3 linked regions of the Oryctolagus cuniculus genome follow. The protein of the gene in region 3 purifies or fractionates together with the protein of the main gene of each other region. This does not show direct contact. Links are inferred from orthologs where the notes say so. Each region holds a gene or a part of one and is shown on either strand. Other genes may lie near its edges. The genes, in order: SQLE, PLIN2 and MARCHF6.

What was found.
Region 1: the proteins of MARCHF6 (region 3) and SQLE purify together in Homo sapiens (affinity purification with western blotting; 4 studies listed by BioGRID and IntAct, with this or other methods). This does not show direct contact. The link is inferred for Oryctolagus cuniculus from reciprocal best matches to the Homo sapiens genes MARCHF6 and SQLE.
Region 2: the proteins of MARCHF6 (region 3) and PLIN2 purify together in Homo sapiens (affinity purification with western blotting; 3 studies listed by BioGRID). This does not show direct contact. The link is inferred for Oryctolagus cuniculus from reciprocal best matches to the Homo sapiens genes MARCHF6 and PLIN2.

What each region holds. Positions count from the first base shown.
Region 1 is NC_091437.1:150,643,960-150,647,606, reverse strand, and holds part of SQLE (squalene monooxygenase), read right to left. Parts: intron 2,637-3,647; coding exon 2,384-2,636; intron 1-2,383. UniProt on the Homo sapiens protein: Catalyzes the stereospecific oxidation of squalene to (S)-2,3-epoxysqualene, and is considered to be a rate-limiting enzyme in steroid biosynthesis.
Region 2 is NC_091432.1:182,106,682-182,111,064, reverse strand, and holds the start of PLIN2 (perilipin-2), read left to right. Parts: upstream 1-1,578; 5' UTR 1,579-1,589; coding exon 1,590-1,755; exon of another isoform or gene 1,756-2,018; intron 2,019-2,703; coding exon 2,704-2,756; intron 2,757-3,445; coding exon 3,446-3,641; intron 3,642-4,383. UniProt on the Homo sapiens protein: Structural component of lipid droplets, which is required for the formation and maintenance of lipid storage droplets.
Region 3 is NC_091445.1:39,765,341-39,768,987, reverse strand, and holds part of MARCHF6 (E3 ubiquitin-protein ligase MARCHF6), read right to left. Parts: intron 2,987-3,647; coding exon 2,852-2,986; intron 1-2,851. UniProt on the Homo sapiens protein: Endoplasmic reticulum membrane-associated E3 ubiquitin ligase that plays a critical role in mitigating endoplasmic reticulum stress, the regulation of cholesterol and lipid homeostasis, and ferroptosis.

The sequences.
Region 1 (3,647 bases), on a different chromosome or scaffold from region 3:
CATGTGGCAGACCTCGATGAAATTCCAGATTCCAGGCTTCAGTCTGGCCCAACCCTGGTTGTTGTAGCCATTTGAGGAGTGAACCAACAGATGAAATATCTCCTTCATTGTCTCTCCCTCTCTCTGTGTAACTCTGCCTTTCAAATAAATAATCTTAAAAAATAAACTGCCAAACCCAGTGGTCATTTTTCTATACTCATCTTACCAAACCCTTCATTAGCAAACCTTGTCATAGCTGTCCTTTCTTAACATACCCATTTCCTCTGAACAGAAAGATTCTCCTTTCTTAGATTAAGTGACACCAAACACTTCTGGCTTTCTTCTACCATCAGCCAGTTCCTTCTCGGTCTCTTCTGCATGCTCCTCTTCTACACAATCTTTAAATATCAGCATTTCCCAAGACTTAATTTATTCTATCTTCTCCCTATACTTCCCTTGGGGTCTTGATCATTGCTATGGCTTTTAAGCACCACAAACATGCTGTCAACTGTGAAAACTTTAACTCCAGCCAGTCCAAACCACTCCTCTGCACTCCAGATTTACATCCAATTTGACATCTACACTTAGATATCCCAATAGGTTCTTCCCCAAAGTTCCCCCACGCCTGTTCCCCTCCAGTACCTCCATATTCTCTCACTCTCAGCAAATGGTATCACCATTTATAAGTTGCTTAAGTCAAAACCTAGAAATCACTTCTGATATAGCATCCTCTTCCTGACATCTCATGCCAATTCCTGAGCAGGAATTGTTAATTTCATCATGAATCTGTCTACTTCTCTATATATCTGCTATCATGCTAATTAAAACCACCACCATCTGTCATTTAGACTCAGTAATTAGTCCTCACTAGACTCCTAACATTGCTTCCTGCCCACTACCACAATCTTACAGTGTATTTTCCATACTATATTCATGTAAATGGCATTCCACAAATGCCAGAGTTTGACTTAATAGTGAGCTGTGAAATGAATTTCAAATTGCCAAGTGTATAATCAGGTGAAATCATGACAAGTATTTAAGAAGTAAAGGAAATATCTGTCAGATGGGCACATGTACTGAATGTACTGAGAATGTAAAATGTATTGTCACTGTGAGTAGCTGTTAAAAGCTTGAAACCACTATTTTCAAGGTAAAATAAGATCATGTCACACTCTTGCTCCACTGCCTAACAAGGCCTGCATGATCTGGCTGCCGCCCACCTTTCCAACCTAATCTCAAGCCTCTCTTCCTTCTCCATCATCTACTACTTTCCAGTTTTGTATTGTTCTCCTTTTCAGTTCCTTACACAAAGCAGCGAATACGAAATACGTGTCAAGCACTATTACAGATGCATTATATATGTGAACCCATTTACATGAAAGGCAGATTCTTTTACTAAGCCCATTTTATAAATAAATGAACAAAAAAGGAGGTTAAGTTACCTAGGCAAGGTCACACACCTCTTAAGTGGCATTCAAAAGTCATAAACCTTTTAAGAGGTGGTATTCAAACTCAAACTATAGTTCTAGCATGGAAGGCTTCTAGTTGATACATCATACTTCCTACCACACACACCTAACAAGCTCATTCTCACCTCATAGCCTCAGTAAATTTTGAGCTCTGTTCTCAAGAATAGAGTTTATCTGTCTAGTTTATCAACAGACTCTTAGTACCCAGTACCAAAGTAGGTAGTGAATACGTATTTTCTAAATAAACAATTGGTGCTGAAAAAGCACTGGTTCTAAGGCAGGCACTTAGCCTAGCGGTTAAGATACCTGCCACCCACATTTGAGTACATGGATACTGCTCTCAGCACTGGCTCCTGACCCAGCTTGCTTCCAATGTGATCCACAGGAGCAGTGCTGATAGCTAAGTCATTGGCTGCTGTTTCACCACGGGAGACCTGGACTGAGTTCCTGGCTCCCAGCTTCCGCCCAGCCCAGCCCAGCCCAGCCTGGCTCTTGCAGTAATTTGGGGAGTGAACCACTAACTCTGTCTCTGTCACCCCAATAAATAATTTTTTTAAAAAAGGCATTGATGATTAATGATGCTTAAATAACAGATTCAATGAAATAATGCTGTAACAAGTATATAATATATATTCTACAAATCATACTTCCCTTCACTTTTCACTAAATTTCATGCCTTCATTCAAGGAGTGTTCCAATACTCATTTTTGACCATTACAATTTTTAGACATTTCATTATTATTTCCTTAAGTCTATTTAATATCTCCTCACATCCTGTTTTCTCCTTTGCTCTTATTTTCATGCTAATCTATTGGTAACTCAGTAAATTTTACAAACAGAAATAAACTGAAATGTCTTTTTATTACTTATAGTTTATCCTATGCAAAGAACACTTGCTTATTCTCTAACTCTCCCAAAAATCAAGATAAACCTACCTCCAAGACCAAGGTCTTTGAGAACATGATAACCACCTGGCTGCAGAAATTCTCCAACTATTCTGTCAGGCTCTTTTAAATCTCTCTCAATTACTGTCACCTTTCTTCCATCTCTGGAAAGCACTGCTGCCAATGCAGAGCCAAGTATACCAGATCCCACGATAATAACTTCTGGATCATTTTGACAAGATGTGGATGTAGAGGTAGCTGCTCCTATTAAGGTTGTTTCGGAAATACTGGTTCCTTTTCTGTGCTGTAAAAAAAAAAAAAATACGTTTCCAAATTTGGAAAGTATAGTATAATTAGGCTTAAATTATACTATTAATATACCAATACACCAGACTGTTGCATCTTGGGCAAAAGCTAGACCCCAAACATTATCAAACCAAGTGAAACATTTTTAAACCCAGATCACATATAAAAATCAATGATATCAGGGCCGACGCTGTGGCACAGCCAGTTAACGCACTGGCCTACAGCGCTGGCATCCCATATGGGTGCTGGTTCGAGTCCTGGCTGCTGCACTGCCGATCCAGCTCCCGGCTAATGCGCTTGAGAAAGCAGTGGAAGATGGCCCAGGTTCTTGGGCCCCTGCGCCCTCATGGGAGACATGACTGAAGCTCCTGGCCTCGGACTGGTCACCTCCAGCTGTTGCAGCCATTTGAGAAATGAACCAGTGGATGGCAGACCTCTCTCTGTCTCCACCTCTCTCTGTAACTCTTTCAAATAAATAAAATAAAACTATTTCAAAAATCAATTATATCAAAATACTGGTTAAATAAAAATGTGTGATATCCCAATGAAATTAAATATATGTTCCTTTTTTCAAACATGATATTTAGAAAATTCTGTTATATAGCTATCTCTGGAAAATCATACCAGCCAGGGGCTGGCACTGTGGTGCAGCTGGTTAAAACCCCAATCTGCAGGACCGGCATCCCATATGGGCACTGATTTGAGTCCTGGCTGCTCAGTCCAATCCAGCTCTGTGCTAATGCGCCTGGGAAAGCAATGGAAGATGACGCAAGTGTTTGGGCCCCTGCACCCACATGAGAGACACAGATGAAGCTTCTGGCTTTGGCCTGGCCCAGATCCGGCCATTGCGGCCATCTGGGGAGTGAACCAGCAGATGGAAGACTCCACTCTCTCTTTAACTCTGCCTTTCAAATAAATAAAATCTTTAAAAAAAAAAAAAAAAAGATAGTCATACCAGCCAAATATAATAAATACTCATAAGGGGCTTCAAAGGCTTACTACAGGACAA
Region 2 (4,383 bases), on a different chromosome or scaffold from region 3:
ATATTGTCAACATAGGAAAGAATAACAGAACTTTTTTGGACTTTAAACATTTTCATATTTTATTTTGAATTACGCAGATGAAAGGGAGAAAACAGTAATTTTTCTTGCTAGGAGCCTCTAGAAATTAATTCAATCCTGTATAAAGAACTTTTTAAAAAAATATTTATTTATTTATTTATTTATTTGAAAGGCAGAGTTACAGATGCAGATGCAGAGGCAGAGAGAGGGAGAGAGAGAGAGAGGTCTCCCATCTGCTGGTTCACTCCCCAAATGGCCACAATGGCCGGAGCTGGGCCTATCCAGAACCAGGAGCCAGGAGCTTCTTCCAGGTCTCCTGCATGGGTTCAGGAACCCAAGCACTTGAGCCATCTTCTACTGCTTTCCCAGGCACATTAGGAGGGAGCTGGATTGGAAGTGGAGCAGCTAGGACTCCAGCTGGTGCCTAAATGGGATGCTGGCACTGCAGGAGGAGGCTTTACTTGCTATGTCACAGTGCCAGCCCCTAAAGGACCTATTCTTAATTGGTCTGTTCGGAGACTTAAATACGACAAGCAGGGACAACTGTTTGGTACAGCGTTTAAGACCCTGCTTAGAGTACATCCCATACAGAGCGCTTTGGTTGCAGTCCCAGCTCGCTTGTGATTCTAGCCTCCTGCTAATGTGCGCCCTGGGAGGCAGGGGGGTGGCTCAAGTCCTGGCTCCCTACAACCCAAATGGGAGACCTGGATGAAGTGTCCAGCTGCAGGCTTTGGCTTAACTCAGTCCAGGCCATCTGGAGAGTGAACCAGAGCATGGGAGTTCTCTCTCAAACAGTATCCCTGTGCGTGCTACACTGGTTAAGCAACCGAGCTGCATGCTGAGGTCACCTGGTACCTAGCATTGTTGCCTACCCCCTCACTCTAGCTCTCTGGCCTGTCATTAGATTGTCCTCAGCTGGGGAGACCCAAGCCCTACAACTTGCTTGGGAGATCGATCAGAAACTACCGTCTAGGGAAGAAATGCGCTCAGCACTGTTATGGCTCCGGGTGGTCGCGTAACTTTTGTGCTCAAATAATCTGATTCAGGTGTCTGCATTTTACACAAGAGGAAACTAGGAACGCAGAGCTGGCCATCTTGCATAGAGTTAGGCAGCTATCACTTCGTAGAGATTTGGGGTAAGACCAGAAGGGGTCTTATTAGTATTCGTAGGCTTTTTCTGTTAATTTCAATTCAAGGCTCCATCAGAAATCAACGTTTAAGGGACGGACTTTAAAGCCAAAGAGCAGTGAAACAGGAATCTATAATTCTGTAATTCGTTTAGAATTTTGCGTAACACTAGGAAGTATTTATTCGCTTAAAACAAACAAACAACAAAAAAAAAAACAAAAAACCCCCAGCAGCTTAGAAGTCATTGTTCACATTCCGAAAGCGTTCTCATCAACACGTGTTAACCCGCCTTTCCCGAAATCCTAACGCCTGCGTGGCAGTCATCCACTTTTGCACCTGGCTCTCAGAATCCTCTACCCCGGGACACGGCCCCCGCCTCCGGGCAGAGCCCCTCCCCCGGGCTGGGATCCCGCCCCCAGGGAGGTCAGGGCCCCTCCCCTAGAATGGCCGCTGGCCGGCCGCGGAGAGGGGAAGGGCCGGCCGCGGGTCACGTGCTGCGTGGTGCGGCTGGCGCCGCCCGCGGCGGGTACTTAAGGCGGTGGCCGCCCGCAGGCCGCGCTCTGCACGTCCGAGCTGCCCGCGGGATTCGACTGCTCGCCGCGCCCATCGGTGGGTGCCCCCGCCGCGCTGAATGTTGCTGGGGGGAGGGGGGAATTCCTCGGTTCTGGGGACCTGCCCCGACCCGCCGGGCTCCGGGCTGGACGGCGATGGCTGCGGGCCATGCGGCGGGGCAGGGGCGGGCTTCCGAGCTGTCCTTCTGTGAGGCGTCTTTCCTGCGGGCAGCTTCGGTGCTGCTGCAGGGCTGTGGAGCAAATACTTGTGTCCGACCGGACGTGATTTAAAGGGAACACGCTTTGGAAAATCGGTCTCAGGCATGGTGTGGTGGGGCGTGCAGTGACTGTAGGGCTAATGATCATGGCGCCCAACTTCCCCCTCTGGGCAGCGCCTTCCCGTTTCTTGGGGACCTGGGACCCTGGTGGTGGGGGCTGGGCTGGCGCGGCAGTGGTGGGCCCCGGCCGGCCAGGTGCTTTTCCTCGCCAGCTTGGAGGGTTGGCCTTTTGTGTGGGCCGTGGGGGGAATCCTAAGTTACCCTGAAACGCTCGGTGAAAAGTTTCTCAATTCCTCGGACCGCCTCCTTCGTCTTGTGCTTGGTGTCCCTGAACTCGTTTTGGTGCTTTCATGAGGGAGGTAAAATTAAGTAACCCTCGGATTGCTCCAACTTCGTCTTCCCGACACCCTGCTGAGTGCTCGCTGACTTAACATGGGTTTTAACTTGAGAATCTCTTTTGTGGAACAGCTGTTCTAGTGTCCTGGTGGAGAATTCAGAGTAGGAGGTCAACGACTTCGCTTTTCTCCGCTGACCTCTTTTTCTGTTAAACAGTTTACATTTAAGGCCTGAAACCTTGCCGGGGTTAGGGATAAAGGGGAGGTGGAAGTCCAAGATCATCTGGAAATATTTTCTACTTGAGCTTGGTTTGTACTTGAACATTTTCTTGGGCTGGGAATGAATCAAGGGAGTCTTATCCTAGCGTCCTGAAATAAGTATCTCTCCCATAGATTCCTTTCTCCAGGAAGAAAAAATGGCATCCGTTGCAGTGGACCCACAATTGGTATGAGTTTTATTTAATTTTTATTTCTTATTTGAGAGGCAGAGAGCTCCCATCTACTGGCTCCCTCCCCAAGTGCCTGAGTAGCCCCCCAGCTAAGGCTAAAGCCAGATGCTCAATCTACATGGTTGGCAGGAACCTCAGGGCTTGAGCCATTACTGCTGCCTCCCAGGGTCTGCATTAGCTGCAAGCTGCAGACAGAAGCTGGAGCCAGCTGTCAAAGCCAGGTACTCCTAGGCCAAATGCCTGTCCCAGGTCTTAATTTTGAATAGGTGTTTTGTGACTGTTTTCTTCCCCAGTGTTTTGAGAAGTTAACAACCAAGGGCCGGCGCTGCGCTGTAGCGGTTAAGCTGACAGCCACCCGCAGTGCCAGCATCCCAAAGGGACGCTGGTTCGAGACCAGGCTGTTCTACTTCTGATCCAGCTCTCTGCTATGGCCTGGGAAAGCAGTAGAAGATGGCCCAAGGCCTTGGGCCTCTGCACCCGCGTGGTTGACCTGGAAGAAGCTCCTGGCTTCAGATCAGCGCAGCTCTGGCCATTTCGGCCAGTTGGGGCGTGAACCAGGAGATGGAAGACTTCTCTCTTTTTCTCTCTCTGCTTCTCTCTCTGTGTAACTCTGACTTTCAAATAAATAAATAAATCTTTAAAAAATATTAAAAAGTTAACAACCTCCTCTTTCCCTTTGGTTGCAGAGTGTGGTGACTAGGGTCGCCAACCTTCCCTTGGTGAGCTCTGCATATGACCTCGTGTCCTCAGCTTATGTCAATACAAAGGATCAGTATCCCTACTTGAAGTCTGTGTGTGAGATGGCAGAGAAGGGTGTGAAGACCATGACCTCCGTGGCCATAACAAGTGCTCTGCCCATCTTCCAGAAGCTAGAGCCACAAAGTGAGTTCTCATTTTTCCCTTCAACATTCGGTCCAAGGAACTGTTCAGGGATGAGGGATTCTCTGCCCTTCCGGAAGCAATACTGACTGTACTAGCAACTGTTGGGTGACCCTCGGACCTGGAAGGCCTGATGTTCACGATACTTTAAAAAAAAAAAAAAAAAAATCCCCAGAGATGTTTCTATGTTGGTAACCAAGACCATAAGGTTAGCATCAGAACTGAAATGAAATACTGTCTTGAGCCCACACACTGGATATAAACTTTTTTTTTAGTAATTTTTATTGCGGTAAAATTAACGTACCATACAGTTTGCCTATATAAAGTGTACAATTCCATTGTTACTATTTGTGTAGAATTGTACAATCAGTACCACTGTTAACCTCCCTGTTAAAGAAATCTCATACCAAAGTTTCTGTTTGGGATGATGAAAGGCTCTGGAAATGAATGTTAGTGATGATTGCCAACATCATGAAGGAATTTAATGCCTGTTACACGTAAAAGTGGTGAAGATGAGTTTATATTTTGACTGTTTTATCAAAATAAAACAGACGTCATGCACTTTACCAACCGTTCCCCATTTCCTTGCAGCCTCCCCTGGGCAACTACTAACATACTTTCTGTCTTTATAGACTTCCTATTTCAGACATTTCATATAAGTAAAATTATAAAAGTGGTCTTTTGTAACTGATTTTGTTTACATTTTTAAGGTTTATACTTACATCAGTACATTATCTCTTTGTGT
Region 3 (3,647 bases):
ATCTAAAGTGGAACATCCAGGTCTTGAACCAGCACCCATATGGGGTGCTGGCAGTGCAGGTGCACTGGACCCCTATTTATTTATTTATTTTAAAGTCAGAGTTACACAGAGAGAAGAGACAGAGACAGAGACAGAGAGAGAGAGAGAGAGAGAGAGATCTTCCATCCACTAATTCATTCCCCAGATGGTCACAACAGCCAGGGCTGGGCGAGGCTAAAGCCAGGAACTTTATCCTGGTCTCCGACATGAATGGCAGGGGCCCAAACACTTGGGCCATCTTCTGCCACTTTTCCCAGGCCATTAGCAGGGAGCTGGATCAGAAGTGGAACAGTTGAGACACAAACCAGAGTCTCCCACTATGCCACAAAGCTGGCACCCAAGTGCATGTTTTTAATGTTTTCTGTGCTATTCTTCTAAGTTTGCTATTAGAATACATTAAACTAGGGAAAAAAAAATCTCTGAGATGAAAAAATACAATCACTACTATATTAGTATCACCTGGCGAAATGATTATGTTGCAATATATAAATGTCTTAAAAAGAAGATCTGATTTGTATTACACGCACTTCCTGGGAGGAATTATCTTAAGAGACTGTACAGTCTCTCATATCTGTCACTTTACTGTACCTCATCTCTCCCCATACCCCATGTGAACAGAAATCACCCAGAAGGTGTTGGGCAACAGATATGGATGTGTCTGGGTACAGTCCTGTGTGGTCAAGTTCACTGAGTTATTCTGCGAAAAGCATCTACTCTGCCCAAACCTCTACTTTTCCATAGCACAAATGAGAGGGTTACCATTTCTTTTTTTTTTTTTTTGGACAGGCAGAGTGGACAGTGAGAGAGAGAGACAGAGAGAAAGGTCTTCCTTTGCCTTTGGTTCACCCTCCAATGGCCGCCGCTGCCGGCGCGCTGCAGCTGGCGCACCGTGCTGATCCGATGGCAGGAGCCAGGTACTTATCCTGGTCTCCCATGGGGTGCAGGGCCCAAGCACTTGGGCCATCCTCCACTGTACTCCCTGGCCACAGCAGAGAGCTGGCCTGGAAGAGGGGCAACTGGGACAGAATCCGGCGCACCGAATGAGACTAGAACCTGGTGTGCTGGCGCCGCAAGGCGGAGGATTAGCCTAGTGAGCCGTGGCACCGGCCACCATATACCATTTCTAAAGTGGACCAACAAGAAACAAACCACACAAACGAGATTAAAAAAAAATTAACTATAAAATATTTCATCTCGGGGCTGGCGCTGTGGCACAGCGGGTAAGGCCACCATCAGCATCCCATGTAGGTGCTGCTTTGAGTCCCAGGTGCTCCATTTCTGATTCAGCTCTCTGCTATGGTCTGGAAAAGCAGTAGAAAATGGCCCAAGTCCTTGAGCCCCTGCACCCACCTGGGAGACCCGGAAGAAGCTCCTGACTTCGGATTGGCACAGCTCCAGCCATTGCAGCCGACTGGGGAGTGAACCAGCAGATGGAAGATCTCTCTCTCTCTGCCTCTCTTTCTCTCTCTGTGTAACTCTGACTTTCAAATAAATAAATAAAACTTAAAAAAAAAAAAAGGCAAACAAGAGGCTGGCACAGCGGCATAGTGGATTAAGCTGCCGCCTGCAGTGCCGGCATCCCAAATGGTTCAAGACCCAGCTGCTCCACTTCCTGTCCAGCTCTCTGCTATGGCCTGGAAAAGCAGTAGAAGATAGCCCAACTCCTTGGGCCCCTGTACCCACGTGGGAGACCTGGAAGAAGCTCCTAGCTCCTGGCTTTGGGTCGGCTCAGCTCCGGCCATTGCGGTCAATTGGGGAGTGAACCAGTGGATGGAAGACCCCTCTCTCTCTCCCCCTCTCCCTCTCTCTGTGTGTAACTCTTTCAAATAAAATAAATAAATCTTTAAAAAAAAAAAAAAGCAAGCAAAGAAAAACATTTCATCCTTAAAATCTAGAGCTCATATATAATTACAATTTTTTAAAATACTTATGTGTATCTGCTCTCATCTCAATCACTTCTATCAAAAAAAGCACACCAGCTTATACTATACAATTCAGGAGAATGTTTTGATGCCACCCCCTCCTCCTCACATCTTTCAAAGAGAACAACATTCAGCCTTTGTTCTTTTGTATTCTGTTCCCACTGGATTTGCAGGCCTGCTTCTGTAGGCCCTGCACATTTCCATCACCAGTCTCAGTGGAGAATGCTCCACTTGATCAACAGCTTTATTTATTCATTTCTTATGAAAGTGAGGAGATAGGAAATGTGCCTTTGTTCCTCACTATTACACCAGCATACACAGCACAGTATCTGGTATACAGCGAATACCTAGTCATTATCTGGGGACGATTGACCTTAAGAAATATATCAAATATTAATCTGTTTTCATCATATTCATATCAACAAGGACTTGATCATTCCAAAAAAGCTGACCAGCAAAGGTATTCATCTAGTAAATGAATTAGAATCATAAAGGATGCTCCCTGTAATGCTATACTTGAAGTGCCTGCTTCAAAGCCATTTTACATATTTGATCTGCAAACCATACCCTTTGGATAGTTCTAGTATGAAGCTCATACACAAAATTCTAAGAGCATACTACAAGATGACTATACATATAAGCAAATTAAAGAGTGCTCTCATTTAATTTTTCCTCAATCTATCATCTTTCACACTTACAACTTGTCAATTAGAGACAAACAACTGGAAACAGTTTAAAGCAATCCAAACTCCCCTTCTAGTTAGTCCCTTAGAAAAAAACAGAGGATAAGAGTTATTTAGGAAATCACCAGAGCCTCTGAAGCATGACTAGTGATCAAGGCAAAAGGCCCTTTCAAAAACACACAGTCAACATTTCCACGTGGGACTCACCTCTCTGAGTAACAGAATGAAAGAGGCAAAGTAGAACACATACACCATCCCCACAAGCCAATGCAGGAACATGGTTGTGCCTGGGGCTGACTGAAAGCTCAATTCTCGATCCTTCAGAGTAGCATCAAACATTTCCTAAGCCAAAACAGAAGAAGTGAGAGAAATTTGTACCACCTACATTTGCCAAATTAACATTCCATCCTCCACCCAGGAAGTAAATAAAATCACTACACATGTAGTGTACGATATTCTAGGACTGCAGGTCTCTCAGCGGCATTTCAAAGTGTCACAGAATCACATGTAAGATTGGATACTACTTCAAAGAGGTAGATAACTCCTTAAAACTTACCAACAGTGAACAAGAGCTTTATTAATACTATTACAGTAAAAGGAGTAGTTTTGATTAATTTAACCTTCTTCTCTTGGTTATGGGTCTGTGCTCCTAAGAAGTTTCAATACTAAGCAACCTCAGAATCAAAGGCAGTATTTCTACAGACAAAATGTTTCTGCAAAATCAAACTGTTTATCAGTGAAAGTCATTGAAGATTATAATCAAGACTGAGCATCTTAAACAGGATTAAATTTATTACTACAAAGTTATTCTCTTCATCAAATTATACTTTTTTTGTATATAATCTCTTACTATTATCATAAAATGTAAAAGGGCAAAATGGATAAGAAAACTCTCCACTGGTTATTAGAAAGGTTCCATTCAAAATACTCTATACAAAAAAAACCAGGTACTAAAAAAAAAAATATAAGAATCTACAGTGATAACATTTTCAGAAAAAATACA